Rattus norvegicus: one gene and its partners. Each later gene encodes a partner of the first gene's protein in a complex. Links are inferred from orthologs where the notes say so. Each region holds a gene or a part of one and is shown in the gene's direction. Other genes may lie near its edges. The genes, in order: Ywhaz, Stk11 and Cftr.

Region 1 (9,829 bases):
CTCCCAAGTGCTAGGGCTATAGGCACAAGCACCAATCTGTTACCCTCCTGCAATTGATGCAGTGCTTGTTCTAAGTGTAGAAAGCGAGAGCTGTCTCCCCATGTTTACTCATGCATCACTGCTTCTGTGCTGCCTCTGGAATTTGAAATACATTTGCACCTAAACCACAGGACACTTCTTTACTGGAGTCAGTTTTCCTTCTTGGGGTGGGGGGTCTTAAGCATTAAAATCATGTCACCAGTCTTGGCACAAGGCCTTTAACCATCTTACCTGCTCTTAAATTTTTTAAGTATATTCGTGTTTTGTCCAAGTGTGTGTCCGTTCACTGAGTGGGTGCCTGGTGCCCTTGGAGGCCAAAGGAAGGTACTAGATCCCCTGGGGACTGGAGTTACAGATGGATGAGAACTGCCCTATGGGGAGCCTTGGCAGTCTGGAAGAGCGGCCAGCATTCTTAGGTACTGTGCCATCTCTCCAGCCTGTTTTTATGGTTTTAACCGGGAATCCAACCAAATTGTTTACTTACAGGTTTTTCTTAAATACGACATTGGACCACTGTTCTTATCAGATGGTTCCAGAATTCTGTTCCCTTACACCCTTGAATCACTGTCCTTTAGTTGGGCAGCTTTTCCATCTGCTTTTCATGGTTTTGGTCTTTCCCCCGTTTCCTGGTACACTGTCCTTTGATTTGGTTTACTTTTGTAATTCTTAGTTAGATACTTCAGGCTTTCTTAAAGTCAGAGGAGGAAATGTACTCTCAAATATCTAGGAAATCTGAAGGTTGATGATAGATTGGGGAACACTTAGCATATTGGGGACCACTTAGCATATTGGGGACACTTCTGGGATTAAAATGGAAAGCAAACTGAAGTTAATGTTGCAGTGAAACCGGGTGAGTGAAGAGTGATCCTTGTACTGCCTCAATGGCCAGTTCTCACTGGCCTTTGTTGCTCTAGAGTGAGTTCCCTTGGCTCAGGCAGGTGGGCAGACACTGCTCTGTGGCTGCTGCTCCTATCACGGGTGCTTGCCCGGCACCGCGTGTGTGTCGTCCTGGCGAGCACTCAGCATCAGAAACACAGATTTTTTTTTTTTTTGTCTTAGGAAACTACTAATTATCTGATAGTGTCAGCCTTAGTTTATATTGTATCTTAATTGTCTAAAAGTTAAATAGTGAGCTTCGTTTATTTTTATATTTGAGAAGTGGGTCTTTAAGGCACTAAGGTCATAAAAATTGTTCTACTGAAGGTTGTTGTAAAATTCTCTTTTTATTTAAAGTAGGCTGTTGAAAGTATGCATTCATTGTAATTCAGTCAGAACTTTATTTGAGCATCTTAGAAGCAGGCAGCATAATGGATTTGGGGGTTTGTTATTGTTGTGTAGCTTATAAGATTAAAAACCATGAGGTCCTACTACCATAACTACTGTAGGACTGGGGCATGATCACTTAAGCCCATGAATTCCGGTTTACACCTGGACAGTATTGAGGTTGTAGCTCGAGAAACAAAATTGACTGTGTGAAAGTGAAAAGGTGTAAAATTGTTTTAATAATTGTACCTACTCCAAGAGAAAAAACAAACTCAGCCCTGCCATTTTCTCTACCTTGCAGTCTATTCTGTATTTATGTTCAGTGTTCACTAGTCCCTGGCGACCAAAGAAAGGATAAGTCCTTGTTCTCCTCAAACTAAAACCTTTAGAAGTAGACACGATGTAAGTGGAACTCATGCGCTTATTTAAAAAAATAGGTTTAGGAAGAATATGTTAGTATTGAAAAGTATTTTAGTACAAATTATTTCCTGTTCTTTTTGAAGAGGGTGGACAGTATAAACAGTTGCTGTATTTTAAGGTGAGCAGTGTATAGTGCGTTTCTACAAAGTTACAGGCATTAACAGTGATGTGCCCGCACTTGGGAGTCATTCTTCACTCGTCATCCTGTGCAGCCATAACTCTTTCCAGTCAAAGCAATCAGCATTATTGTCTACTGTCTTCTTGTTTTCTGTGTGGGCTGTTTTGTTTTTTATGCATGTGGTTACACCATGTACATGCCTGGTGGACAAGGGTGACAAGGGTGGCCAGATTCCCCTAAAACACAAGTTGCAAAAGTTAAGGAGCTGCCATGTGGGTTCTGGGAATTGAGCTTGGGTCCTCTGGAAGAGCTTCCTGACTGCCAAGCTGAGCTCTTGCTATCCTCACTGCTGTTTTGAACATCAGCACTTACTGTCCAAAAATAACAGCTAAACTTCCTTATCAGGAAGCAAGACAAGGCAGGATTCATTGAATCCTTTACTGCTATGTGCTCACAGTTTTTAAATAAAAAAGATTGTATAGTCCTTGGAACTAGGAAGTTACTGTAACCCCTGTGTTGACGGCTTTTTCTGTAAGGAAGATGGGGAGATGCTGCTGTCACTGACATGAGTAGATTCCCAGGCCCCATACATGTGGTGGACCTGTTATAAGTTGAAAGTGACTTTTTCAGATGTTTTTGGCTGCTGTTGGTTTAAATGAAAAACTCATGGTTCTGGAAGCCTGTGATTATCCCCAGAAAATGTGGGTGTGCATCCAACTAGATGGTTTTGTTCATGGGGTCCTTTTAAGAGAGGTTTAGACATTGTGGTTACTTGGTTGGCACTCTGAAAATTAATGAAGTGAGTCACTTCAGTGTTGAGGCTGAGGGATTGCTGTTGGGTCTGTTCCTGCAATCTTCAGTAAGGTGGGGGGGTTGGTTTGGTTTGGTTTTTCAGAGGTCTCTGTAGCTCTGATTGTCCTGACACTTGGCTCTAGCTACACTCACCTGGAGCTCACGAACTGGCTCCTCTGCTTCTCCAGTGCTAGATTAAAGATGTGTGGCCACAGCCCTGCTCAGCGTGGTTTCTAGGAATACAGAAATTACTGATAAAAAGTAGGTTGCTAATTCCCACTAACATTTATCAATACTGCCTAAAGGAGTTTCTGTCATAACTTTAGGTTTTTACATTGCACCCTCCACACACTCAAGTTGATTCTGTGGCTTTGCTGGGCCAGTGCAAGGTCACTGAGACACGTTTCTAGCCCTTTGGGTAGTGTGTTATTGTTGGGGGGGGGTTGTTTTTAGAGGCAGGGTCTCTCCATGAGTAGTACAATCTATGCTTGAACTCAGAATGCTTCTGTGTTGCCTTTAAGTGATGAGATTACAAAGGTGCCCACGCCAGCTGCCAATCATGTACTTTATGAGGGGTGGTCACTCAGTTAACTGTATCTTTATGACCTGTCTACATTCATAGAGTAGGCAGCAGGATTCAAGTGTATTCACTTATGTCCCCCATCATTAGATAATAGATACTCAAATCTTTTCAGAGAATAAAAACCAGAATCTAAGTACTCTTGGAAGAATTGGCTCATCTGGGGTTCAGCCCAGATGAGCAGGAACATCACCTTGATTTCAAAGCAGAGGTATCCAAGGGAGTGGGTATGGTAAGAGACTGGTTTGTTTTTAAATTCACTCAGTTCTACCTTTTTCTCTCCAATGCAGTTACATCATCTACTTGAAATTAGCTATAAAAGGTTGGTTTTATTTGGTGTGTGACAATTCCAGTAAGCTTTAAGTTGTTAATAGTTTTAAGCAAAGCTACAGGATGAAATTTTACCATTTGTGATGATCTGTAGATAAGACCAATTGCTATGCTGAAATTAACAAGTGTTTTTTTTTCATCTGGCCTTTCCCTGCCTTGAGTTGCTTATTGATTTACTACACTTTTGAGACAGCATTGGTTTGCAGTCGAGCTTGGTCCTCATCCACCACAGTCCTCCTGCACCAGCACTCTAGAATGCTGTGCTGTTAGAAAAACTAAGGTTTTGTTTTGAAATCTTTTACAACTGAGTCTATAGTGTTTGCTTAAGAAAAATACTTTACTTTGATTTGTAAGTATTGTCTTAATATTTCTGTTTCTTTTCTTCTGAAGTCTCTTTTGGAAAAGTTCTTGATCCCCAATGCTTCGCAGCCAGAAAGCAAAGTCTTCTATTTGAAAATGAAGGGTGACTACTACCGCTACTTGGCTGAGGTTGCTGCTGGTGATGACAAGAAAGGTGAGCTGGTTTTGCTTGGTTGAGCTTATATACATCTTCTTTTCTGTTATGTTACTTAGAGAACTGAGCACTCTTTCTTTTTGTCTTGTGTTTTTGCCTGTTAGTATTTTGAACTTGAAGCTTTCTGAAAAGCTGTTTGTATAAGAATGTCTCCTCGATGTTAACAGAGGTTAACCTCAGAGTAGAATGAGGAAATCACAAGATGGTGATCAGATGGATGTGTGTATGAGTGTTTGCCTGCATGTGTTTGGGCACATGTGTCCGATACTGTTGTAGGTCAGAGCAGCGCGATTGGATCCCCCGGAATTGCAGTTACAGACTGTTGTAAGCTGTCCCTAGGGTGCTGGGAATCAAACCAGACTGGGAAAAGTAGCCAGTGTTCTTTGCCTCAGAGTTATCATTTCAACTCAGCTCCACTCTGAGTTGCTTTTCTCTTGACAACAGCGAGTGACTAGTGTGATCCAGGACAGCATTGTTTGTTTTAAAGAGTATAATTTGGATAAGACTGTCAGAGCGTATATTTCAGAGGACACATGCAATCTTAAATGAAAAGTTTGGCTTAAGCTGCAGCATAGAATTTGAAAGTCCATTTCACTGTGTTGCATTATCTAGGAATTGTGGACCAGTCACAGCAAGCATACCAAGAAGCATTTGAAATCAGCAAAAAGGAGATGCAGCCGACACACCCCATCAGACTGGGTCTGGCCCTCAACTTCTCTGTGTTCTACTATGAGATCCTGAACTCCCCAGAGAAAGCCTGCTCTCTTGCAAAAACAGTATGTATTTTACCTGTTACTTGGGAATTGGGCAGTGTTCATTATTTGAATTCTAAGGTGTACTTTGTTTTGCATTTGTAGGCTTTTGATGAAGCCATTGCTGAACTTGATACATTAAGTGAAGAGTCGTACAAAGACAGCACGCTAATAATGCAGTTACTGAGAGACAACTTGACAGTGAGTACCTAAGACAGTCTGAAGGGTGTGGCCAGATAACTGAATATAGCGTCCTATCTACTGTTTACAAGCTTACCAAGAAGAAAACTACCTTATTGAGAACATTGCCAGTACTTATGAGAGATAGATACCTTTTGGGCTTAACTTATCCTAAGTTACTCCTTTCTGTTTCAAGTCTTGAGTAGTTTCATTTTTTTCACCCCAGAGTCAGTCATGTGCTTACTCAGCAGAAGTATCCAGGTTTCTTGTGGTGGAGGAAGAATCATGAGTTAGTTACAGGCTAGCCTGGACTACTTAGTGACAAGCTTGCCTAGGCTACATGACAAGATTCTATCTCCAAAAAACAAAAACCCAACAACAAAAAAAGTAAACTTGCTACTATTGGTGTCTAACTTGTCTTTGAAGTTGGTTTTCTTGTCCTTTAGTGTTGTGCATGTTTGGTGGGAACAAGTGCACCCCTTGCTTGCCTGGTCTCTAGCCCAGGGAAAGGTGGGGTTGATGCTCTGCTGTGCTGAAGGTTTGAACATGAACCCCATATATACCATTGTCTTAACCAAACTAAAACAACAGTTCTTGAAAATTCATTTAAATGGTTATTTATTATTTAAATAGGATCCCAATAAAGCCATGCTTATGGTTGGCTTCTTGGGTTTTTCCTTCTTCAGATGAGTAGTAATTTGAAGTTTTGAGGCTTGGGTGAAAAAGTTACCCAGCATTTGCTGTGTTTCGGGGAAAAGGTAGAAATGAGTGTCTCTGGTCTATGGGCTACTTTTCTGTGTGTGTTCAATTTGTCTAAGAGACTTGTCCATTCTTTATGTGTTTTACTTCCTGTTAAAGTCTGTAGCTAAAATTATTTTACTAACTCTAACTGGGGTTGTCTACAAACTTAAGAGACTTAAAAATAAGCAAGGGTTAATATGGAATTGACTTGCTGTGCATGCTGGAGGTGGGATTTGGGCCTTCTATACACTAGGTGAATACCACTGAGCTGCATCCTGCCCAAAGGAAAGAAAAGACGTCAAATATGAAGCACTTGATTCGTTAGCTAATTTCTAATTGTAAGAATATATGGGGGGGGGTGAGTGTAGCTGTTGGAAAAGTGCTTACCTGCGGTGTGTAAGACCTTGATTATGGTCCTCAGTAAGCTAAAAATTTATTTTACTTGCTGAGCATGGTGACACACAGCTGTTATTTTAGTTGGTGGGAAGCTTAGGCAGGAGAAATACAAATTCTAGGCAAAGCAAGAAGAAAACTAGCACTAAGTCTTACATGTTGTCTAGGCTTGCGTTGAAGTGATGAGGTGGTATTTAAAGTAGACCTTAGGCCTAGGTGTGTCACTACTTTTAGGGGCTCCTGATTGAATGCTCCTCTCATCCATTGGAATTATGGGGTGAGTGCAGGAAAGAGTGTCCTAAGCAGAGTGAGAAGGTCAAGGAGCAGCTCTGCCCTGAGCCTTGTTAGACTGCTGTTGACAGCGTGACACCCAGCTGACACAGCCAGTGCCTCACAAGAGACTATCCTGATTGTAGTGTGTAAGGTTTATACACAAAATGTAAAACCATTAAAGGACAAGGAGGGAACAGACAGGAGACTGTTGTCCTATTCGTAAGCACACAGTCTGGAAGAAGATACCTGGCCAGCTATGTGTGACTTTGAGTCTGTTCTAGGCCAAGTGTGGAAGGTGATTTGGGGAGAATATATTAGGTTAGAGGGTAGATTCCTTTTTTCTCCTTTTTAAGTTTGGCTTAAAATATTTTACCTGGAAACAGTTGGGACTATTTAGAACTGTATTAGCTTATTGAAACACTATAACAGTAATGAGAAGTTAATAATGAAAACCATAATCCTGCCATCCTACGACACCTTTCTTCTTTTTGGTAGAATATTTGCTTCTGTCCATAACATTTGTTAGGTTTGTTTTGGGTCTGGGACATTGTCAGGAGAGGCCAGCTCACCCAGCTCCAAGAGTGAGATCTTTCTGGAAAACACTCTAAAAACCATTGGCATTAGAGCTTTGGTTTTACATATTTGAGAGTCAGAAGTGAGAGGACTGGCTGGCTCTGCATTAGGCTCTACGGTGGGTTTGGGGCTGAGGCTGGGCAAGCCATTTATGGCTTAGTGACTAAGCCACCTTGTCTAAAAGACTGAGATTTCCACTTCCTGCCCATTAGTTACTTAAATCTGTTCTGTTGAAAGACAGACAGATGTGCTGTGTATCTGCCATTCCCCGGGTCAGGCTGTCCTTCAGTGATGCCCCAAGCTTTCTGACTAAAGCATGTAGTCACAGGCCAGACCCACCCTTAACATGTGTACAGAAGGTTGGATGCTGGTTTTGTTTCTCCATCTGAAGTATGCTGAAAAAAATCTTTTCCCTTTCTTTACCAGTTGTGGACATCGGATACCCAAGGAGACGAAGCAGAAGCGGGAGAAGGAGGGGAAAATTAACCGGCCTTCCAACCTTTGTCTGCCTCATTCTAAAATTTACACAGTAGACCATTTGTCATCCATGCTGTCCCACAGATAGTTTTTTTGTTTACGATTTATGACAGGTTTATGTTACTTCTATTTGAATTTCTATATTTCCCATGTGGTTTTATGTTTTAATATTAGGGGAGTAGAGCCAGTTAACTTTAGGGAGTTACTCGTTTTCATCTTGAGGTGGCCAATATGGGATGTGGAATTTTTACATGAGTTACACATGTTTGGCATAGTTAGTACTTTTGGTCCATTGTGGCTTCAGAAGGGCCAGTGTTCAAACTGCTTCCATGTCTAAGCAAAGAAAACTGCCTACATATTGGTGTGTGCTGGCGGGGAATAAACAGGATAATGGGTCCAGTCATGAGTGTAGTCTGTGTGGGTACTGTAAGGCTTGGAGCACTTGTGAGGCTGGGACACGAACACCCTGTGGATGCACGCTAAGACCGTGTGTCTGCGTGCACACCCTTGACCACAGCTCCAGAAGTTGTCTGTAGACAAAGTTGTGACCCAATTTACTCTGATAAGGGCAGAAACGGTTCACATTCCATTATTTGTAAAGTTACCTGCTGTTTGCTTTCATTATTTTTGCTACACATTTTATTTGTATTTAAATGTTTTAGGCAATCTAAGAACAAATGTAAAAGTAAAGATGCAGTACAAACGAGTTGCTTGGTGTTCCCGGCTCCATGCGGATCAAGCACAGCGGTAAACAAAATCCCATGTATTTAACTTTTTTTTTTAAGTTTTTTGTTTTGTTTTGTTTTTGCTTTTGTGATTTTTTTTCTCTTTTTGATACTTGCCTAACATGCATGTGCTGTAAAAATAGTTAACAGGGAAATAACTTGAGATGACGGCTAGCTTTGTTTTAATGTCTTATGAAATTTTCATGAACAATCCAAGCATAATTGTTAAGAACACATGTATTAAAGTTCATGTAAGTGGAATAAAAGTTTTATGAATGGACTTTTCAACTACTTTTCTCTACAGCTTTCCATGTAGATCAGTCTTTCGGTTTTGAGACTTCTCTAAAGGAAATTGTTCTCCTTATTCCCTCTTGGCAGCTAACGGGCTTTTACCAATTTTGAATGCAAAGTTTATCATAACAAAAACGCTAATGTAGCTTCCATTCTCAGCCACATCCCCCACATTCTTCCTCTTACTCCCTCAACAATGAAAGTGGACTTTTATTGGGGGTGGGGGGTGATTGGCAAAAGGTAATGTGTTCCATTGAAAATTGTGGTCTACGGCGTTTTCTAACTTAGGAAGCCACAATGTTCTTGGCCCATGTGACTGACACTGGGCAGCATTAACCGTTAAGTTCTGTGCTTCCAAGTCACTGTTGGTTTTCAGAATTTCCTGATGCTCTTACAACCTGCCTGTCTGGGATTCCAGTCCTCTATTTCCATGTCGGGCACAGGCTCGCTTCCCTTTTACTGTCTTGTCACCAGCCATTCCAACTTGGTGGCCATGTATTTGGGAGAAGGCCGCATGATCTTCCTGGGTCCACTCAGTGTCTGAGATCCCACTTCCTTCCTCTGCTTGCATCCCACAGCCTCTCTTCATCCTCCCCTGCAGCCCAGCTCCTCAGTTGAGCTTGTGTTTATCTCCCTGGAGACCCTGCCCTGAATGGTCTGTCACAGTCTCCCTTTAAAATCCTTCCTCCTCCTCTCCAATAAAGATGGGGCTAAGTCACACCCAGAGCTCACACCCCACCGAGTATTTCCTCAGTACTTTACAGAAAACACCAAACAGAAATGCCATTCTACAAGAGGTGTGTTTTTCCTTAGAATGTAAGCTCCTCAAGAGCAGGGACAATGTCTTCTGTATGTTCTATTGTGCCTAGTACACTGTAAATGCTCAATAAATATTGATGATGGGAGGCAGTGAGTCTCAATGGTGAGGGGAGAAATTCCAAGCATGTCCTGGCTCGCTCCATGATGATCCGGTCACATTCTGGAACCCCATTCCTTTGGGACAAATTAAACAAATCCTGCATTCAGATGAAGTGCGGTGGGCCGGGGGTGGTTTCCAGAGAAATGAAATCACACGTGTGGTGCCACAAACCCTCTTCCCTTACAACTCATTACCTTGATTTTGCCTCAGCTCCCAGGCTGAGGAGAATTAAAGCAGTGGACAGCAGGATGTCATCTCATTCGAGTAGCTTACAAGTGCTGCCTGAAGCCTGTCACATTTGCCTAATTGGCTTACTCATATGCATTAGACATTGCTAAACCAGTTTGACTCTGAAATTGTGATTCTTACCTGCTCTTAGTTACTGATGTTTTTATGAATAGGGCCCAGTAGATGAAGAAAGAATTGCAACCTCAAATTTCCCACCCTCT
Region 2 (10,530 bases), about 60 Mb from region 1:
TAGATCCAGATGACAGTACTGCTAGTGTGGTTTATGTGGTACCAGGGATGGAAGCAGGGATCCTGACCCGTCAAACTGTGCCCTACCCACTGAGCCGGCTGCAGGCTTGATGTGGAATCTGCAGGTTTTTTCTTCCTGGTGGCATTACCTCCCCCAGTGCCATTTCTTTTTTTTTTTATATCTTTTTTTTAATTTTTATTTATTTATTATATATGAGTACACTGTAGCTGCCTTCAGACACACCAGAAGAGGGCATCAGATATCGTTACAGATGGTTGTGAGCCACCATGTGGTCCCAGTGCCATTTCTGATGTGCTTCCATGGTCTGTAATCTGCTACTTCTGAGGGGAAAGTCATATTATTGAAGTGGTACTGAGTTCCCAAATTTATAAAGTAGCTGCACTACCAGAACTCACGGGTTCGGTTCCCGCTGGCCACAACTCTTTATAACTCCAGCTCCAGGGGATCTGAGGCCTCTGTGAGGTCCTGAATGTGATGCGTGTGCACGAACAGACACACACACACACACACACACACACACACACTCTCTCTCTCTCTCTCTCTCTCTCTCTCTCTCTCATATATGTACGTAAATACAATAAACCTCTAAATATATCTATGTCTCTGACCCAGAGTTCTCACCAGAGTGATGACTCTTCTTAGAGAATTCAGGGTAACATCTTGGTCAGGTGTGGCTGTCCCACTCCGGGAGCTCCAGGTTCAGAATGGGTGGGGACCAGGATGATGCTTATTGCCCCTAAAGCTCCCAGGATGCCTTAGTGTCTGTCAGGTGAAGGGTGTAGGTGTAGGTGTTTGAGACTTACTTATTCTAGGAAGCGCAAGGCCCTGGGTTCGGTCCCCAGCTCCGAAAAAAAAAAAAGAGACTTACTTATTGTTGCCATGCAATGGAAGGTGAAAATCCAGAGAGTCTCCCTGTGAGGAGCTGCTTGGGCTGCAGCTCTGGAGGTGGGGGAACGATATTCCCTCCAGCTGTTTCCTTCATCTTTGTCTCTCCTTCCTTTTTCGTGAAATTTTTTAAAAGATTTATTTATTTCATTTATGTGAGTACACACATATTTCAGACTCACTAGAAGAGGGCATCAGGTCTCATTACAGATGGTTGTGAGCCACCATGTGGTTGTCGGGATTCGAACTCAGGGCCTCTGGAAGAGCAGTCGATGCTCTTAACCGCTGAGCCATCTCTCCAGCGCTTTGTTAGTTTCTTAAGTTCAATTTTCATGTGTATGAGTGTTTTGACTGCATGTGTGTATGGCACCATGTGTCTTCTGAGGCCAGAGGAGGGTACTGAATCCAACAGAAGTGCATATGAGCCACCATGTGGCTTCTCTGAAAGAGCACCAGTGCTCCTCACCTCTGACCCTGCTCTGCTTTTTTTTCTGTTTGTCTAGCCTGTGTTTTCCCTCAACTTGTCTTCAGATCTGTTTCTCTGATCTTTTTTTCCTTAATTTATGTGCTAGCATGAGTCAGTTCTCCTTCCTCCATGTAAGTCCTGGGGTTTGAATGGAGGTCGGTTGAGCTTGACCACCAAGGCCTTTTGCCCACCCCTAGTGGCGTCTCTGTCCCTTATGTCTCCTTACTCCAGGACTGGCCTTCTGGCAGTCCACCCCGCCCCCTGGTGGCCTCAGAGGGAACCGTAGATTCACGGATCTATGGACCTTGTAACCCGCGTTTGAATAGTGTGTGGAGGGGAGTCGCGCAGGGTGAGCACTAGCCGTTCAATCATATCACAACCCTCATTTTCATACATGCAGTTAAAAAAGGACACGCCTATAAAAGTAAACAAGTTAAATTTTTATAGGAAAGTGACCAAAACCCAAACCACCCCAAAATACTGCAACACAGTTGAGATGAGGCCAGCGGCCACATCAATCTTACCCAGACATTTTTTTTTTCTTTTTTCTTTTTTTCGGAGCTGGGGACCGAACCCAGGGCCTTGCGCTTCCTAGGCAAGCGCTCTACCGCTGAGCTAAATCCCCAACCCAGACACCTTTTATTTTTTTTAAAAGATTTATTTATTTATCATATACAAGTACACTGTAGCTGTCTTCAGACATACCAGAAGAGGGTATCAGATCTCTTTACAGATGGTTGTGAGCCACCACGTGGTTGCTGGGAATTGAACTCAGGACCTCTGGAAGAGCAGTCCATGCTCTTAACCTCTGAGCCATCTCTCCAGCCCCCAGACACCTTTAAAAAAAAAGATTTTCTTATTTATTTTATGTATGTGAGTACACTGTCACTGTCTTCAGACACACCAGAAGAGGGCATCAGATCTCATTACAGATGAGATGCGAGCCACTATGTGGTTTCCGGGAATTGAACTCAGGACCCTTAGGAAAGCAGTCAGTGTTCTTAACCACTGAGCCACCTCTTCAGCCTACCCAGCCACTTTTTTTGACAACTGTTATTTAAAACTCTGTGTGTTGTGTGTGTACGCGCGCGCCTGCCACGGAGCGTTTAGGATCAGAGACAAACTGTGAGAGGCATTTCTTGCTGTCCACCTTGTGAATTTACGGGGTTCGAACTCATGCGGTCAGACTTGACGTCAATCGTACGCAGCCGCTGAGCCATCTCACCAGCCCAGCGGCTCTTATTTTGCACACGAAACGCTCCTCTCTATGGCACCAGCTTGGGTCTATCCCCACACTGATCTCAGTGGCTCCAGGTTCCGAAGTGTCAAATTTGGGCTACTATTTGACCTTTGACTCCGCCCCCAAGGCCGTTAAGAACAAGCAGTGGCTAGATCACTTTAGGTATCCAGGAGTCCCTTTCTTCCCCCCACCCCCACCCCCCGCACCATGCCTCCAGTCGCGGCTGTTCCCAGAGGACGTTGACGCGCGTGAACTCTAACCCGAGGCACGAAACTCCGAGGTCACCACCGGCAGCCCAGAGATTTCGCTGGCCAGTCGCACTTGCCGACGGGCGTCTAGGACAGCCACTTACAGATAAGATCCCGCCCACACACACCAACCAACTGCCGAGGGGCGGGGCTTGAAGCCACAGCCCACGGCCGCTCCCTTACAGTCACTTGCTTACTCCAACTCCCATTGACCGGCGTCTGAGACTACCAATGAGAATGTAGATCACGCCTTCACAAGTGGAACCCGAGCTGTCCAATGTCAGCTCGGGTGCCCACCCAGATCCAAATAGTCCAATCCGCGTTGGTGATTGCGGCGGGTTCGAGGGGTGGGGTTTAAAGCTACAGCCAACTGCCGCGCACGTCGGCTCCGCGAGGGGGCGTGTCCACCGTTGAGACGTGCGACGACGGCGCGGCGCAGGGCGGTAAACAAGATGGCGGCGGCGTGTCGGTCTAGGAAAGGGGAGGCGGCTCACAGCGCCCGCGAGTGAGGCGCGAGCCTCCGAGGGCGGTGTCGGCGTGGAGTTTTCTCTCGCGGACAGCATCTTTCTGCCTGAAGTTCGACTCCCCCCTCGCCGCTCCGGCCTCCTGCCTGTCACGCGGCGGCTAGGCGGCGAGGGGGACGCGCCGCCCCGGGTGGTTTTCTCCCCCCATTGGTCCCCCGAAGATTTCCTGTCCCGACTTCGTGCCCGCGACTTGTGGGTGTCCCGCGTCCGGGTGGAGTTTGCGCACCGAGAAGTCGTGGAACTAAGGGAACTAAGGGGCCGCGCGCGGCGTCGGCGCGGGCCGGACATGGACGGAGCGGACCGTCCTCGACGCGGCCGCCTGGGCCCCTGAGCGCGGGGCCCAAGTGGCGACCATGACCTAGCGGCCCGCGCGCCGCGACGGCGGACCGTCGCCTCCGTCGGAAGCAGCGTCCCCGGGGACCCGAATTAGGGGGACGCGAGGGTTGGGGGGGCTCATTGCTTTTTTTTTTTTTATTCTTATTTTCATTTTTTTTCTCCCTGAGCACCTAGAAGAAAAGGGGAAAATCAAAAGTGAAGAATTGGCGCCCAGGAAACGGACGTGGACCCGGTTGTGGGGACCGGGAGGGTTGTGGAGGTCGTTCCTTCCCCCCCCCCCATTCCTTTTTTTCCCCTTCTTGAACATTTGGAAGAAGCGGGTGGGGGAAATTTGAACTTGAAAAGAATTGGCGCTCCCGAAGGGGACGAGGACAAAGAGTGGGCCAGGATGGACGTGGCTGACCCCCAGCCGTTGGGCCTGTTCCCCGAGGGCGAGCTAATGTCGGTGGGCATGGACACCTTCATCCACCGCATCGACTCCACCGAGGTGATCTACCAGCCGCGCCGCAAGCGCGCCAAGCTCATCGGCAAGTACCTGATGGGGGACCTGCTCGGGGAGGGCTCGTACGGCAAGGTGAAGGAGGTGCTGGACTCCGAGACCTTATGCCGCAGGGCGGTCAAGATCCTCAAGAAGAAAAAGCTGCGCAGGATCCCCAATGGCGAGGCCAACGTCAAGAAGTAGGTGCCAAGGGCCTGGGGCCGACGTGGGTGCTGCTGCCTTGAACTCCTTGGGCAGCCCTTCCTCCACTTTTTGGCTCTTCACTTTCCTCTAACCTTCGTTCCCTTCTCTTTTCCTCCCCTTTCCTTTCACTATCTTATCTACCCAATCTCTCCCTGAGCGTCACCTCGGGGGTCTGTGTGCTGGGGCAGCCGGTAGGACTGTCCTAGCGGGAGGTCGTGTGGCCGACTGTGCCTCCAGCCCTCCTCTTTGGGCCAGGTCCTGGCTCAAGTCAGGCCTGCCTTCTTTGGCGGGCGTTGCCAGGCGGGTGGCTCGTTTGTTTACACAGAGGGAACCGGCAGGGCCAAAAATAATGGTGATTTGGGGTGAAAGGGGGTGGGTAGCCAGCCAGTGCTGGCCCGGGCCCCTGCAATATCCTGCCTAGTTGGCATTGCTGGGCCGTGGGGACTCTTTATCGCCTGCCCGGCTTGGCGGAACTTGGGAAACTTCACCTACCGGCTTCCGAGAAGGGGCCTTATCTTTGGGGCCTGCATTGGCGACGCGCTGTCAAACTGACCTTGCCTGTGGTCCTGTCCCAGGAAAGGCTGTCTGGCAGCTTCTTGCTTTTGCCAGCTGTGCACTGTTCTGAGTGGTACCCACAGGAAGGCAGGCAGATACTCAGGAACCGATGTGTGGACCCAGCGGTGGAGCCAGGCGGGTGGGGGGTGTCCTCAGGATCTGCTTTGCCTTTTTTTTTTTTTTAAATATTTATTTATTTATTTATTTCATGTATGTGTGTACACTGTAGCTGTCTTCAGACACACCAGAGAAGGGCATCAGATCCCATTACAGGTGGTTGTGAGTCACCATGTGGTTGCTGGGATTTGAACTCGGGACCTCTGGAAGAGCAGTCAGTGCTCCTAACCGCTGAGCCATCTCTCCAGCCCGACTTTTTTTTTTTTTTTTTTTTTCCGGAGCTGGGGACGGAACCCAGGGCCTTGTGCTCGCTAGGCAAGCGCTCTACCGCTGAGCTAGATCCCCAGCCCCCCTGCTTTGCCTTCTTTGTAGGAGTGGTCCTAGGTTAGTCTTGCACTGGGGAACCGTGGGGACCCAGCGTCAGGTGTGCCTTCAGTGAGTTCGGAGGCCTGAGCTGGGGAAAACCTGGTTGGAAAATTTGTCTGTAAGATGGAGGTGCCATAGGCTGCTCCTCTCTGGGTGGTGACTGCTGACCTCCCAGGCAAGTGGCCGCTTTGGGGAAGTACAGCAGTGACAGTGTGGGCTTAGAGAGACGCTGGACACAGCCCACTGGACGTCAGTAGGGTGCTATAAGGAGCCTGCACTGTTCCTCAAGCCAGGAGTTGGTCTGGGCAAATGGGTACATGCAGTCGTCATAGTGCTAGAGAGACTGAGGGAGGAACATTGCTTCTGTTTGTAGACCAGCCAGATGCATGGGAAAACTTGGTTTCATGAGGAAAACGGGTTGGTAGGATGCTCAGTAGGTAAGTGCCCCAAAGTCTGGAAGGTGAAAGCAGACCCAGCTCCTACAAGTTTGCTTTGACCTCCATATGTGTGCTGTGGCACACACACACGTACACACACATGGGCAGGAAAGATAAAAGCCAGGAGGAGAAACTGAGGCAAAAGCTTCGGACTGGCAAACTGCCCTGCTCTGAGGTCCTTGAATGGCAGGACACAAAGCCAGGTGTTTCTAGGGGAGTGCTGGTGTTACCCACTGCCTGAGTGACTCGTGCAGTGGGAACCCTAAGGTTGCGGGCACCTGCTGGTGTGCACAGAGCCACAGCATGGAAGGGGCAGCTTGGCGACAGCTGGTGCAGGCAGAAAGGCCCCTTTGTCTGTAGGAGCTTAATAGACTGCACTCATGTTGTCTCTCTCTTGTGGTGAAGTGTCTGGAACTTTCCAGCCAAGCCCCTGGGGTCCTGTCATCCAGTCTGCACACAGAGCTTTCTCCTCTCAGGACCAGTGGAGTAGTGTGGCGCCTTCGTTTCTGTGAAGGCTGAAGGGACCTGTGCACTTTGGTTCCTGTCACACACACACACACTCATCCACCCGTGAGAAGTAGCAAGATCTTTTTTTTTTTTTTTTAAGATTTATTCATTTATTCTATATGAGTACACTGTAGCTGTCTTCAGACACACCAGAGAAGGGCATCAGATCTCATTACAGATGGTTGTGAGCCACCATGTGGTTGCTGGGAATTGAACTCAGGACCTCTGGAGGAGTAGTCGGGTGCTCTTAACCGCTGAGCCATCTCTCCAGCCCCAAGATCTTTTTTTTTTAATGTTTATTTTTATTTTTTAATGTACGTTGCTGTTTTGCCTGCATAGACATCTGTGTCAGATTCCCTGGAACAGGAGTTAGAGACCGTTGTGAGCTGCTCTGTGGGAACTGAACCCAGGTCCTTGGAAGAGTAGCCAAGTCCTCTTGGCCGCTGATCCACCTCTCCAGCCTTAAGTAGCAAGTTCTTATACCAGCCAAGGGGAGAGCTGGAGTTGCTGCTGACCTGCTGGCTCTGCAGCTGTGGCTTTAACCCCACCCCCCTCAAGAGTGCTATGGTTGTTCTGCTCTGCCTTACCTGGGGAGGGGGGGCCGTGTGAACCCCCTGGGTGCATGGGCCTTGTTGCTTGTGCATAGACTTCTGAGATCCTCCAGATGGGACAAGTTGGAAAGCCACCCCAGAAGATGGCGGGTGAGGCTCTTCCAGCCTCGTGTCTGCATGCTGCAGTGGAAGGCACAGACCTAGGTGAGAACTGGCCACCTGACGCCCTCACCGTGACCCAGGAGAACGCTTTTGTACATTTGCTCTTTTTGTTTTTTGTTTCGTTTTTAAAAATTTACTTATTATATATAAGCACACTGTCCCTGTCTTCAGACACACCAGAAGAGGGCATCAGATCCCATTACAGATGGTTGTGAGTCATCATGTGGTTGCTGGGACTTGAACTCAGGACCTCTGGAAGAGCAGCCAGTGTGCTCTTACCCACTGAGCTCTCTCCAGCCTCGTTTGCTTCTTGTTTATGTTCTTGTTTTCTTGTATTTTTTGTTTTTTGTTGTTGATGTCTTCCTTTTTTAGATTTGTCCCTCACTCCTGGCACCCCCAGCCCCACCCCACCCCCACCTCCACCCCAGGCTGTGTAGCCCTGGCTGTCCTGGAGCTCACTCTGTAGCCCAGGCTGGCCTGGAACTTATAAGATATACTGCCTCCAGCGTGCTGGTGTGACAGGTGTCCGGCCACCACTGCCTAACCATTTGGATTTGCTTTTATGCATGTGTGCGTATAGAGGCTGGTGGTTGGGGATGCATGTGCCTGGGGAGGCCTGAAGAGCATCAGCTGCAGGAGCGGGACTTGGGAGCTGACTAACATGGTACTCGCAACTGAACCCAGGTTCTCTGCAAGAGCCAAAGACATTCTTAATCACCGAGCCATGTTTTGAGTCCTTAGAGATGTCTCATGTAGGCCAGGCTGGTCTCCAGCTTGCTATGTAGTTGTGGATGACCCAGTCAGTGTCTCCTGAGCAGTGGGCTGATGGCTGGGCACCATCATGTAAGGCATTTAGTTTTCTTCTGTAAGGCAGGGTCTTGTCGGAATGCTTGATCTTAAGCTCTGGGCCTCAAGCTTCCTCCTGCTCTGCACATGGGCTGAGGCCAGCCATGGCATCACCATTTGCTTGCTCTTTGCTAGTTGCAGGTTATGGATGGCCAGCTGTGCCTGCGTTCTTTCAGTCCACTAAGGTGGTGGCTCCTGCTGGCCCTCCAGTGGTTAGGGCTGAGGGCCCTGCTGCCAAAAGCTGGGTCCTGGCAGTATGGATCATGCTTAGTTGAGCTGCTTGTCCTTTACAATTTGTCTGGTCACCATCTCTCTTTGGGGACAGGGAGCACCTGCCTGGGCAGAGTGTCTGTGCTGGATGGCTACTGTTGCTGAGACAGTGCAGTCAGGGTGCTCAGCTGTTGGTTGTCACTGCCTGTCCCGATCTGCACCTGTCTGGGTTGCTGGGACCATGGGAGATGCTGGCAGCTATCCAGGGACAACTGGAGGCCATTCCATGGTGACTGCCTGGCTGTGTGATGTGGACTGTGCATAGTTGGGACGTTAGCGAGTTGTGGGAAACATAGCCAACAACCAGCTTCGTTGGTTTTCAGCCCTCAGCTCATAGAGCATCCAAAGCAGACTCGACAGCTGCTCATGCTGCCTGCCTGAGGGACAGTGCTGGGAGTCGACCCTGTGTGCCTGCATACATGTATGTGCATGTGGTATCCAGGGGGCAGCCTCAGGTGTCACTTCTCAGTCAGTGCCTGGGACCTGGAACCTGTCACTAGACAGGTGACAGGACTCACAGGTGTGCAGCAGCAGTCAGATTATTTTTTTTTTTTGGTTCTTTTTTTCGGAGCTGGGGACCGAACCCAGGGCCTTGCGCTTCCTAGGCAAGCGCTCTACCACTGAGCTAAACCCCCAGCCCCAGCAGTCAGATTTTTATGGTGTTGGGAGATGAGACTCAGGTTCTCACGCATGCTTGCAGAGATTTCCTGTCTCTGCAGTCTCCTGTCAGCTGGTTTCCTTGGCAGGGAATTGGTGCTTCCATGAGTGACCCATGTTGTTCCACAGACCCTTGCCAAGCAGCCAGTGCACTGAACTGGGGTAGGGTGGAGCGCTAGCATCTGCTGTGCAGGCAGAGTTCGGGACTCTGCGTGGGCCACACTTTCCCAGTGCCAGGCAGGTGGCTGTCACTGAGCTTTGCCACCTTGAGAACTGAGTTGAAGTGCCCCTCTCCTGAGTTTAGGGTCTGTCTAGGATGTGGGATGCCTGTGACAGCCTGGTGTTTTGTCAGCTCCAGCAGGTTTGTAGTCTCAGCTTTGTGTAGTTGCTCAGAGGGCAGGACTGTGCGCATGTCCTGCCTGGGCCTTGACTGGGCTGCCCGAGAGGAGCTTGGATGGGACCTAGGGGAAGTCTGGGGCTTCCTCCCTGGCCTGGGCTCTGAGGTGCTGAGCTGGACTCCTGCTTCCTCCCACACCAGTGCACAGCTGGCTTCTCTTAGCATCGTTTCCTGTTGTTTCTGAACAGGGCTCGCTCTGTGACCCAGGTTGATCTGGGGGTCTGCTTTGTTGAAGACTACAAGCTTGTGTACAGCACCATGTGGCTTCCTTCTCACCTGCTTTTCTTGGTTACCTAAAAGAGACCCTGAACACAGGGAGGGTGGCAAAAGCCCTGAAGCCAAGTGGTGGGTCCTTCCTGGTCTGAACCTGCCTGGGCTCTCTGGCTCTCTTATGCTCTCAAGCACTTTCCTGTGGGTGAGAGTTGGGTGCTGGGGGTTTCAGTAACGTGTGTGTGTGTGTGTGTGTGTGTGTGTGTGTGTGTGTGTGTGTGTGTGTGTGTTTTAATGAAAACTTTATGTGTGAGTGTTTTGCCCATATTTATGCTGTAATGTACCTGGGGAACCAGAAGAGGGCACCAGATCCCCTAGAACTGGAGTTCCGGATGGTTGTGAGCCATTGTGTGCGTGCTGGGAACTGAACCAGGGTCATCAGGAAGAGAGCGTTTACCTGTTGAGCCATCTCTCCAGCATCCCAGGTTAGCCTCAAACTCATAATTCTCCTGTTTCAGCCTCCTAAGTGTTGGGTTACAGATACATAGCACCATGTCCAGTCCTCAGGATGCTGGGACACTGTCTCATATACTTGTCTACTTGCTGTCACCCAACACCAGACTAAGGCCACTTAGGAAGGAAGTGATTGCAGGCAGAGTTCCTCCCTGTGGGGGAGGCCTGGCAGCAGAACTGGGAGGCGCCTGATGACATCACATCATATCTGCAGGCAGGAGACAGACTCCCCCTCAACCCATTTTTGGGGGGTAGGACTTTGTCCTTGCTCAGTCTAATCTGGAGACTCCCTCAGACTTCGCCAGTGCCTGTAGAATTGATCACCATTAACCAGCACATCATGTGCTGTGTAACAAACTTCTGTGGAGATGCTACGCACTGTCTGCTTAGCCCAGGTAGGGAGCCCACAACAGACCCAAGTATGAGGACCACCAAAGTCTTAATGTGGTGAACCAGTGAGTTTCACTGGGGTTACTTACAGGAGCAGAGTGACTCGGAGACAGCTGCATCCCCAAGGCCCTCCCCAGCATGGGTGACTCC
Region 3 (10,530 bases), on another chromosome or scaffold:
AAATAAATACACTATTTGGTGGGAGTAGTTAATCTAATTCTGAGGGAAGAGAAACTTTACATAAGAGGTTCAGGCCTTTAATCCTAGCACTTGGGAGGCAGAGGCCTCTGTGAGTTCCAGGAGAGCCAGGGCTACACAGAGAAAGTCTGTCTCCAAAAACAAAGAAAGGAGACTTATCTAAAGTCACACAGCTTAGTGTTTGGTGGGTTTCAAACTTAGCTTTTGTTGCCTTAAAACTCAAATGACTTTTATATACTCTAGTACAGTTTCTAAAGAAAAATTGAAAACCCTGAGTAAATTCTCTGTCTCGATGGAAGTATTACCGTATTCTGTATATCAGCCATACTATCAGGCTCCTATTTTCTGAAAGCTTAACAGCAGCTACTCATACTTGAGTAGCTTCAGATTCCCTCTTTAGGATGTCGTTTCATCTATTAGATCAGTAACTACAAGACAGAATGATTGCTTGGTTGTTCTTGCTGCATTACTTAAAATGAGTTAAAAAGAAACAAAATATACCCCAGAAGACATTATTTTTGTATCCATTTCTGTGGAAGTTCTATATGAATATCAGATTGTGTGTGTGTGTGTGTGTGTGTGTGTGTGTGTGTGTGTTTTCATGAGTGTTTATAAACACATTTGTCAGACCAAATGTGATGTTGGAAGTAGAGGATGCCCTACTGGCCTTAGCTCTGTAACAGGGCATCCGCTCTGGCCAAGCAGCAGCTTTGTAAGTCTGCAATGATGTATTCACACTGAGGGATCCTTGAGGCAAGGTGTGAAGGAGCTGAGACTGCCCCTACCTCCTACCTTTGGTAAGTTTTTAAGCATAGCCATCCTGTGTATGTGAGGCTAATGAGGTCTGCCTTCTCTCTTTAGGGAGCCTTGTCTTCCTCTGAAAGAACTTTCTCATCCTTCTACTTTCTACATTTCAGTGCATCCATGATTGCTACCCATTTATGATAAAGCTCCCTCAGGAAAGATTCGGATATACTCTAAGTTGGATGTGATGATCAGAGTTGGATGTAGTGTAAGCACACTCTTATGATCTCTAATGGGGAAACGTGGACAATTTTCCAGCAAGTAGAGAAGCATAGACAGAAAGCTTACATTGCTAAGGGCATTTGTGGAAAGCGCCTGGCACATGGCTGGCACACACTGTAGTTGGTGCCAAATAGACATGGGTTCCTTTTGTCCTCTTCCTCTTTTCTTTCTTTTCACCAACCCTTCCTCGCTTCCTCTTGCAGTCCTCTCAGTGTATCTTCAAGGTATGCCACGAGAGTGAGTATTACTCATCTGTACTAAAGCACAGCTCTTCCTAAAACACCAGTCAGTCCTGCAGATGGATGTGCAATCATCAAGGCCCAGGGCAGACAAAGACTGCTTAGCTTCGCCTTCCATTTCGCTCTTTCATTATTACTGGCTGATCACACTGTGACTAGGACTGAGGATGTGGGACAAGCCATGCCATGCTCTGTCCTGAGAACCACACCAAGCCACTGTGTTGTTATCAATCAGCCAAGCAACTTAACTTGGGAATTAATAAACCATTATTTTTCAGGTTCTTCCTCTGCAGAATGGGGTATTAGTTACCTGTACATGAACATGTCCTAAGAGCCAAATCTCACCCTGTAATTTACTCATGACATATGATAAATATCTAATGAATGTAAGCTATTGTAGTGGTATATGATGATATGATTAGTATTTGAGTATCTTGAAGAGAAAAATCATCATATCTTAGTATCACCTTTTATGTTCATCCTGATCTGTTGATTTCCTTTGAGAGTCTCATTTAGAACTTCAGTCACAATCTTACCTATATCTGCACGTATTTTCTGATATATTTTCACATTTGTATCAGGCATGTACCTAGGTACAAATTATGTACATCATATCTTTATTTTACTTAGACTTGTCTGCTTTGCTGAAATCTTCTGCCCAAACAAGTTTGGACTGTGATGCCTTATGATAAAAGTCTAGGGCCTGCCTATGCTCACGTATACATACTCTAGAATGGATTATGCCACTTACATAACATTTATTCAAGATATATAGCTCTCGTGGCCTTTTGGTCAGTAGATTTCTGCTTTCCTATCTTATTGAACAGCTGTGTAAGTTTTGACTTCATGAAACTAATGTGAGGAGAAAGGTTTGGTGGCAGAACAGGAATACATGGTGGGAGATTTGCTTAATGTTTCACACTGATGAGACTGAAGGTTTGGGATCACATCTGAATTTGAATCCACTAATATTTACCAACAACATTTACTCCAATGCTTCATTACCTGGAAATGGCAAAATAGGCATAATAGTATATATGAACATGGTTGTTGGATGAAGGTCCCTGGAAACTGCAAGGACTCATAACTTTTCACTTGTCCTTTCAAGAGGAAGCAGCTTGAGATATCCTGGAGTCATGCAGTTTGGCCAGCTTTGATGATCTCTGAAACTTAATTCTTCATTTAGTGTCATGTGATGGTGAAAACAAGGAAGAACTGATAACAAATTCATTTCAGAAACTGCATCATCTGTGATGGTCACACTAGCATTTACAAACAACAGGTGAGGGTGGGGAAGGATAAATCAAGTTCAGTCAAAGGGATGGGAAAAGTCAATAGTGAGAACCAAGTTCCAAGTTCTCTTGTCATAATGGAGAGAGGAAAATGCAAGGAGAGCACTTGACAGTGACAGGTTAGAAGGCCTACAAGCCTTCCTGCAGTTTCTATCTGTAAAAACTTTATCTTTTTTGCTATTTTTTTATCTTTAAATCAAGTTTGGCTGTTAAATTAAATGTCTTTACAACTATTTCATGATAAGGAAAAAAGCTAGTATAGATACAGGAAGTAGGCCTCTTGACCACATCATTCATTAATTTAAATGTATTTTCTTGTCTTAGAAGTATTATGAAATACACGTTTTACTTGTGTTGTAGTTGGATGTCCACAAATTAAAAATCAGATAATTTATAAGTAAACTCCCTTGCTTTTATAGTGGGGAGGCAAGAATCAGGCCTCAAAACCCTCAAACTCTAACCTTGGAACAAACAGCCCTAGTGGGATAGCCCTATCAAACCCTTCCCTTCAGGGATTAGGAACCCCGCAGTGAGGGCAGAAAAGGATAGACCAGAGAAGGTAGAAAACCATGCAAACAAGGCCCTCTGAGTCAACATGCCCAAGGTCATGTGAACTCACAGACACTGGGGAAACTAGCATGGGGCTGTTGAGGGATTGCACCAGATACTCTGTATGTATATCATGGCTTCTAGTTCAGTGTATTTGTGGGATTCCTGAATGTTTGAACAAGTTGGTCTCTGTTTCTTATGCCCTTTATTGGGCCCCTTTCTGTTTGTTTTGTCTAAGTCTAATACGTTTTCTTAACCTTATTTATTTTATTATTGTCCTTTAAAAGCCTGTTTGTTTCCTAATGATGGACAGAAAGGGAATGATCCAGATGAAACTGGAGGAGGGAAGGAACTGGGAGGGGTAGAGGGAGGAAAAACAGTAATCAGGATATAGTGTGTGAGAAAAAAATTGTTTTTTTTTTGTGTTTGTTTGGTTTTGGTTTTTCAAGACAGAGTTTCTCTGTGTAGCCATGGCTGTCCTGGAATTTGCTCTGTAGACCATACTGGCCTTGAACTCAGAGATCTTCTGCTTGCCTATGACTCCTGAGTGCTGAATTCTGGGGTTAAAGATGTGTGCTGCCTCAGCCTGCATAAAAAGAACGTTCGATTTTCAATGAAAGGAAAAAAAACCTCTATTTACACTTGCTTTGGCACAGCAGGGTTTAGTTATTTAAGTATTGTCTCTTTATAGCCCAGCAGGGTTTTGTGTTAGACACACATTTCTCATACCAAAAGCTGGGAAGGAAGGCCCACAGCCTGGGGAACTTTCTCTCAGAGAACTTGAGGTGAATAGGACACCTTTGCTTCAGTGACTCAGAGTCCCTTTCAGTGTCTTAGTCAAGATATTTTGCTTAACAAAACTAGGGGGAAATGAGAGGAGGGTCATTTAGTTTAGACTCCTCTTGTCATTCTCTAGCACACACATAAAAGCCTTCTGAAGGTGAAATACCACACCACACTGAGCAGGTCCTGAGTGAGAAGTGGTAAAGGAGTAGCTCCCTTTGTCCTTGAGGACTTTGATATGTCAAGTTATGACATATCAGGGCATTGTGACATATATGTATGATACACATGTAGCTCATACGGGAAAGTAGTGGCTTCCCTTTCCTTGGTAGGACTTTTGCTGTAATTGTGACATATCAGGGAATTGTGACATATGTGCGTGTCACCTCATAGGTGTTTGTGCCACTTTGTCTACTCTGGAGCCTTCAGTCAACAGAGCTTAGGTCTCGTCCAGCTCTTGAAGGGCTTACTGAGGTGGAACTTTGCAGCTTCTTGAGTGCTCTTTGATACCAAAGAGCCACATTTTCCTCTCCTTTCCAAAATGGATCTGGAAAAGTTAACTGGAGGAGGAGGGGGAAGAAAGGAGGAAGAAAGAGAAGAAAAAGGAGAGCAAAGTGAAGGGAAAGATTCAGTTGGAGAAGGAAGAGAAAGAGAGGAAGGGGGAGAAAGAGAGGAGGGAGGAGAAAGAGAGGAAGGCAGGGGAGCAGTGGGAAGAGAAGAGGGAGGAAGAGGACAAAGAGATCAAGGAGGACAAAGAGAAGGAGAGAGAGAAAGAGATAGAGAAAAAAGTGAAGGAGGAGAAAGAGGAGGAGAGGGGAAGGAGGAGAAGGAGGGAGAGGAGAGAGAGGGACAAGGAGAAGGAAGAGAAAGGTTCCGGGAAGCTAAGGGAATCAGTGACTGGTCTTTATTCCTAAGTAAGAAGGATTCTAAGTCCCGCAGATTGGCCATGGTTTACCCGGGCCCGCTGTCTGAGCCACTGCTGGGGCCACCATGTGAAGGTAGGCACGAGGGGGGCGCTGGAGGGCGGGCGCGGATAATAAAGGCCAAGGTAAAGGAGGCGCGGGCCAGGAGGCGCGGGCGCGCTGGAGGAAGGAGCGCTGGCCCGGGGCGGACGCGGGGCGTGGAGAGCAGTGACTGTGAGGCTGGGCTAGGCAGTGCTGACTTTAACCTGGGCTGCGGAGGCGGGGGAAGAAGGCTAAGGAAGGGGAGGTGTGTGGGACCGGAGTGGGTGGGGGGAATTGGAAGCAAATGACATCACCTCAGGACTGAGTAAAAGGGAAGAGCCAAAAGCATTGAACGGGTCCTGGATATCCAGAAGTCGAGTCCAACCTGAACCTGTCCGGACACAGACCTTAGTGCACCACGGAGACATCATGCAGAAGTCGCCTCTGGAGAAAGCCAGCTTTATCTCCAAACTCTTCTTCAGGTGAGAGGGTGCCCAGAGGATCTTTCAGGGACACGTGTGCCCATGCCAGAGAAGGGAATAAATACGGGCAGACTTTGGGAAAACAGGAAGAGATTTTTGTTGAGTTTTGTTTTGCTTTAAAGGTGTGTTGTCATTCATTGCTTTAAAGGAACTATGTATTTTGTAGAATGAAATAAAACTGATGGAACAGAGAACAAATATATATTTGCACCTGGAATCAGACTTGCAACAGCCAAATATGCAACAGAGCAATAGATTTTTTTAAATTTCCTGAAAACAGTTATACATCATAAATGTACTTAATAAAACATTAAGATTGGTCCATTGTTTTCTCCCAGAAAAGTTTGTCTGCAGGTGGCGCGCCTGTATATAATAGGTGTTTGGAAAACGTTTATTGACTCAGGTTTTTAAAAATCAAGGAATTATACTTACTTTTGCTGTTATAATATTGAGTAAGACTAACATGCTTAGTACAGTTACAGTATTCTTCTTTAAGAATGAGCAAGTCAGTTAAAATACCTAACTTTAGAAAGAAATACTGTAAGCAATGCATTTGAAAATTCAGTTACTCTGGGGATATGAGACTAGGGTTCTAGCCACTGACGCTATATTCAATTGATACTTAGGAGATTGTTCTCTTATCCTACCAAAAAAAATTAGAATCGAAGTTGGAAGACCTAGGCAAGTATTAAGCACTTTGTATATGAGGTACTCTGTGGAGCTTCTTGTACTCAGTCATGTAGTGTGAATGAATGAAGAGAACAGCTCTCTCATGGGTCCTTAGCTGGCTCAACCCCACCCCCAGTGAATCAGCACACTAAAGTATCATAAATGTGGAATATGTTCTAAATGTGCCCTGTGGTGTGGGTACGAGGCAAGGCTCAGCCTTCAGTCCTTTTTCTGCAGGTCTAGAGCTCAGGACTGAGGGGAGGCAAGTGCTTCTACAGGAGAGCTCCTCCCAGTGGATGGGAGAGAAGGTCCCTCTTTACTCTTTAGAGTGGATATTTGTAGTGCCTTTTCTTACTTCGTCTATAAATTTAGCTTATCAGCCTGGATCTAATTTCTTACTACTTACAATATCAGATTGTCAATTGACATAAACTTTAGACTTTCACCAGAGCTTATTGAGGAACTTAAATGTCAATCTGCCTGAAAAGGCAAGTTTTCTGAAGAATGAATATCTCTTGTGTGTTTCCCCCACTAAGTATTAAGAAACTTCAAAATTTTTCACTTATCAAAGTGTTTCAAAAATTTCCCGTTTTTATAATCCACCTAATACATTTTAGTGTGCTTTACAAATGTTCTTAGGCAGATTTGGAAAGGAAATGTATTATAATGGCTGTGAAATTTGTTAAGAACATACTCATTTCTGTTCTCCAAATGATTTCATAATCAGTTGCTTTAAGAATAGGTGTGTTTTTAAGAGTTTAGTTCCTCCTATTTATAGGAGCTGACATTTAGCTAAGTACCAGTCAGTGATTATAAACTTCCTTCTGGACTATACTTTTCAAAGGGTGAAAACCTTTTCTCCACTGGATTAGGCAGTGTGCTTAGTGTCCAGGGCAGTGGGCTCTGGAAACTTTGCATTTTCATATAGCTTTAAGAAAAAGATCATGCCTGTTGTGTATCTGTTAGCATATGCATGTGTGCGTACACACATGAACATGCACATGCACATGCACATGCTTGCTTTTATGCCCACAGAGTGCAGTATAAGATATCCTCAGAAGAGCCATCATCTCCTTTGAGACATGTCTCTCATTGGCCTGAATTTCACCAGTTGTTAGACAAACTTGTCAGCGAACCCAAGGAGTGTTACTGTCTTTGCCTTGGCAGCAATGAGATTGTAATCATGTGTCGTCACCTTGCCCACCTTCTCATATGTGTGCTTGGGATTGAACTCAGCTTTTCATACTTGGGAAGCATGTTACTTTACTGACTGAGCTATAAACAGTTTCAACAAGTTAGGTAGCAACATTTCCATTCTCTTTCTGATCCATGCACAGACACTATCTTACGTTTGCTAAGACTTAGGTTATCCAAATCCAAAGGCCACTTTTGATATACTGAGGATATGGTATTTAGAAAACTCAGGATAGCTGTCCGTTTAGTTGATGGATGCCATCCAGTGGCTACAGCTCCAGAGTTCCATGCTATCATTTGGCTTTTCTTTGATAGAATTGGAAGAATCCACATCTAGGATGGAGACCCTCTGTTTCGACAGTGGGCAAGCACTGCCCAATGTTAGCTCTGTACCAGTCCCTTAGGACTCCTGTTTATTTTTCACTGATCATGTTTGAATATTACAAAGCTTAGAATTTTCAACTTGGGATTTATGTTAGGTTTTTGTTAATTTTGTTTAGTTTAATGCACAGTTCTAAGAGTACCACTTGTACACAACATGATGAAATTGTCATTTTGTGTATGTAGTATATATGGGTGTGTATGTGTAATAAATATCCCTATACAGTGAAATTTATTTTAGTTGATATCACAATTATTAAAATCTCTTCCAAGGTTTTATAGCACGTTAATACACAATATACTTTTAATAGTCAATCCATTGCTCCTCAGAGCAGAGGAAGCTATAATTATTTTAAAATAACTTCATCAACATGTTGTTTGATGTAGCAATGAAATAGTACTCAGTACACACTGATACACAGGGGAAGTCAAGGCTTTTTGTTTTCTTTATGGAAGTTGGACTTACTGTGATAATTCCTAAATGTTAAAACTTGTTTAAGAGGTCTACAAATAAATATCACCATAAAGTATATTATTACCGTTAATGTCCTTTTATAGGAACCTGTAATTTCACTGTGGTAGAACTATAGATAAGTATAGGATTGCCAAACCATAAGGGAAGGGCGTTAACCATTTAACATGCAGTTAGACATTATTTGTTGAGACTTTAAAAACACCTCTGAGTCAGCAGCAATTTGGGCCATTTTGATCCTCTCTTCCCCGTGCATCTTGTACATTTCCTCAGAGCAAAGTACCTGCAAAGCAGTGAGTTTAAGAGGGAAAAACTATGAAAGAGGTCCACTTGTTTGGAGATACTGACAGAGGGATTTCATAAATACATTGTTCATCATCACTGTGTGAAACAGTGTTTTAGCCACTTCCCTTCAGCTCTTAAGAATGGAATCAATGCAGCATGTAGGTTTCTCTGTGTAAAATCAGCATTACAAAGTGGCTTTTTCATGGGCTTGATTATCAGAGAACTTAGGCTTTTCGGAAGAATACTATAATAGTTCAGATGAGGCTTGTCAATTTCAAATGGTCAATTTCTATATAGCCCATTAATTAATCATTTTTTGATGTTGACGGCTATTTGAAATTGTAAACTACTTTTGTGTTTAGTATTCAGCACATTTCAGGAATCCAGGATTACATGATTCTAATAACTGTTTCTTGTTGAAATTGACTTCATTGTGATCAACTCTACAGATATATGTGTATTGCATATTGATGATATTTAACATTCCCTTAAAATGATGGGACAATCATTCTGATAAAATAGGAGGGGGAGCAAATGTTGAAACATTTTTTTATCTTTATTAACTTGAGTATTTCTTTTTAATTAATTAGTATTTCCTATTTATATTTCGATTGTTATTCCCTTTCCTAGTTTCTGGGCCAACATCCCCCTAACACCTCCCCCTACCCTTCTATATGGGTGTTCCCCTCCCCATCCTTCCCCCATTACCGCCCTCCCCCCAACAATCACGTTCACTGGAGGTTCACTCTTAGCTGGACCAAGGGCTTCCCCTTACACTGGTGCTCATACTAGGCTATTCATTGCTGCCTATGCAGTTGGAGCCCAGGGTCAGTCCATGTATAGCCTTTGGGTAGTGGCTTAGTCCCTGGAAGCTCTGGTTGGTTGGCATTGTTGTTCATATGGGGTCTCCAGCCCCTTCAAGCTCTTCCAGGCCTTTCTCTGATTCCTTCAACGGGGGTCCCGTGCTTAGGCCAGTGGTTTGCTGTTGGCATTCACATATGTATTTGCTGTATTGTGGCTGTGTCACTCAGGAGAAATCTACATCCGGCTCCTGTCGGCCTGCACTTCTTTACTTCACCCATCTTGTCTAATTGGGTGGCTGTATATGTATGGGCCACATGTGGGGCAGGCTCTGAATGGGTGTTCCTTCTGCCTCTGTTTTAATCTTTGCCTCCCTATTCCCTGCCAAGGGTATGCTTGGTCCCCTTTTAAAGAAGGAGTGAAGCATTCGCATTTTGATCATCCGTCTTGAGTTTCATGTATTCTGTGCACCTAGGGCAATTCAAACATTTGGGCTAATAGCCACTTATCAATGAGTGCATGCCATGTGTGTTTTTCTGAGATTGGGTTACCTCACTCAGGATGATATTTTCCAGAACCCTCCATTTGCCTATGAATTTCATAAAGTCATTTTTTTGATAGCTGAGTAATATTCCATTATGTAGATGTACCACATTTTCTGTATCGATTCCTGTGTTGAAGGGCATCTGGGGTCTTTCCAGCTTCTCGCTATTATAAATAAGGCTGCTATGAGCATAGTGAAGCACGTGTCTTTGTTATTTGTTGGGGCATCTTTTGGGTTGTATGCCCAAGAGAGGTATAGCTGGGTCCTCAGGTAGTTCAGTGTCCAATTTTCTGAGGAACCTCCAGACTGATTTCCAGAATGGTTGTACCAGTCTGCAATCTCACGAACAATGGAGGAGTGTTCCTCTTTCTCCACATCCTCACCAGCATTTGCTGTCAAATGAGTTTTTGATCTTAGCCATTCTGATTGGTGTGAGGTGAAATCTCAGGGTTGTTTTGATTTGCATTTCCCTTATGACTAAAGATGTTGAACATTTCTTTAGGTGTTTCTCAGCCATTCAGCATTCCTCAGCTGTGAATTCTTTGTTTACCTCTGAACCCCATTTTTAATAGGGTTATTTGTCTCCCTGCGGTCTAACTTCTTGAGTTCTTTGTATATTTTGGATATAAGGCCTCTATCTATTGTAGGATTGGTAAAGATCTTTTCCCAATCTGTTGGTTGCCGTTTTGTCCTAACCACAGTGTCCTTTGCCTTACAGAAGCTTTGCAGTTTTATGAGATCCCATTTGTCGATTCTTGATCTTAGAGCATAAGCCATTGGTGTTTTGTTCAGGAAATTTTCTCCAGTGCCCATGTGTTCGAGATGCTTCCCCACTTTTTCTTCTATTAGTT

Evidence for each region.
Region 2: the proteins of Ywhaz (region 1) and Stk11 are in contact, whole or in part, in a crystal structure (PDB 5WXN), measured with the Homo sapiens proteins. The link is inferred for Rattus norvegicus from reciprocal best matches to the Homo sapiens genes YWHAZ and STK11. Residues at the interface, in NP_001129171.1 of Homo sapiens: Asn42, Ser45, Val46, Lys49, Asn50, Arg56, Arg60, Phe117, Lys120, Arg127, Tyr128, His164, Pro165, Ile166, Gly169, Leu172, Asn173, Val176, Tyr179, Glu180, Asp213, Ile217, Leu220, Asn224, Leu227, Trp228; in NP_000446.1 of Homo sapiens: Trp332, Arg333, Ser334, Met335, Thr336, Val337, Val338, Pro339, Tyr340, Leu341.
Region 3: the proteins of Ywhaz (region 1) and Cftr are in contact, whole or in part, in a crystal structure (PDB 5D2D), measured with the Homo sapiens proteins. The link is inferred for Rattus norvegicus from reciprocal best matches to the Homo sapiens genes YWHAZ and CFTR. Residues at the interface, in NP_001129171.1 of Homo sapiens: Asn38, Arg41, Asn42, Ser45, Val46, Lys49, Arg56, Arg60, Glu113, Phe117, Lys120, Arg127, Tyr128, Glu131, His164, Pro165, Ile166, Gly169, Leu172, Asn173, Val176, Glu180, Ile217, Leu220, Asp223, Asn224, Thr226, Leu227, Trp228; in NP_000483.3 of Homo sapiens: Arg764, Arg765, Arg766, Gln767, Ser768, Val769, Leu770, Asn771, Leu772, Met773, Thr774.

What each region holds. Positions count from the first base shown.
Region 1 is NC_086025.1:69,825,025-69,834,853, reverse strand, and holds the end of Ywhaz (14-3-3 protein zeta/delta), read left to right. Parts: intron 1-3,932; coding exon 3,933-4,056; intron 4,057-4,668; coding exon 4,669-4,832; intron 4,833-4,913; coding exon 4,914-5,009; intron 5,010-7,394; coding exon 7,395-7,454; 3' UTR 7,455-8,450; downstream 8,451-9,829.
Region 2 is NC_086025.1:10,234,722-10,245,251, reverse strand, and holds the start of Stk11 (serine/threonine-protein kinase STK11), read left to right. Parts: upstream 1-3,286; 5' UTR 3,287-4,108; coding exon 4,109-4,398; intron 4,399-10,530. UniProt on the Homo sapiens protein: Tumor suppressor serine/threonine-protein kinase that controls the activity of AMP-activated protein kinase (AMPK) family members, thereby playing a role in various processes such as cell metabolism, cell polarity, apoptosis and DNA damage response.
Region 3 is NC_086022.1:47,522,486-47,533,015, forward strand, and holds the start of Cftr (cystic fibrosis transmembrane conductance regulator), read left to right. Parts: upstream 1-5,143; 5' UTR 5,144-5,170; coding exon of another isoform or gene 5,171-5,280; coding exon 5,281-5,333; intron 5,334-10,530. UniProt on the Homo sapiens protein: Epithelial ion channel that plays an important role in the regulation of epithelial ion and water transport and fluid homeostasis. Mediates the transport of chloride ions across the cell membrane.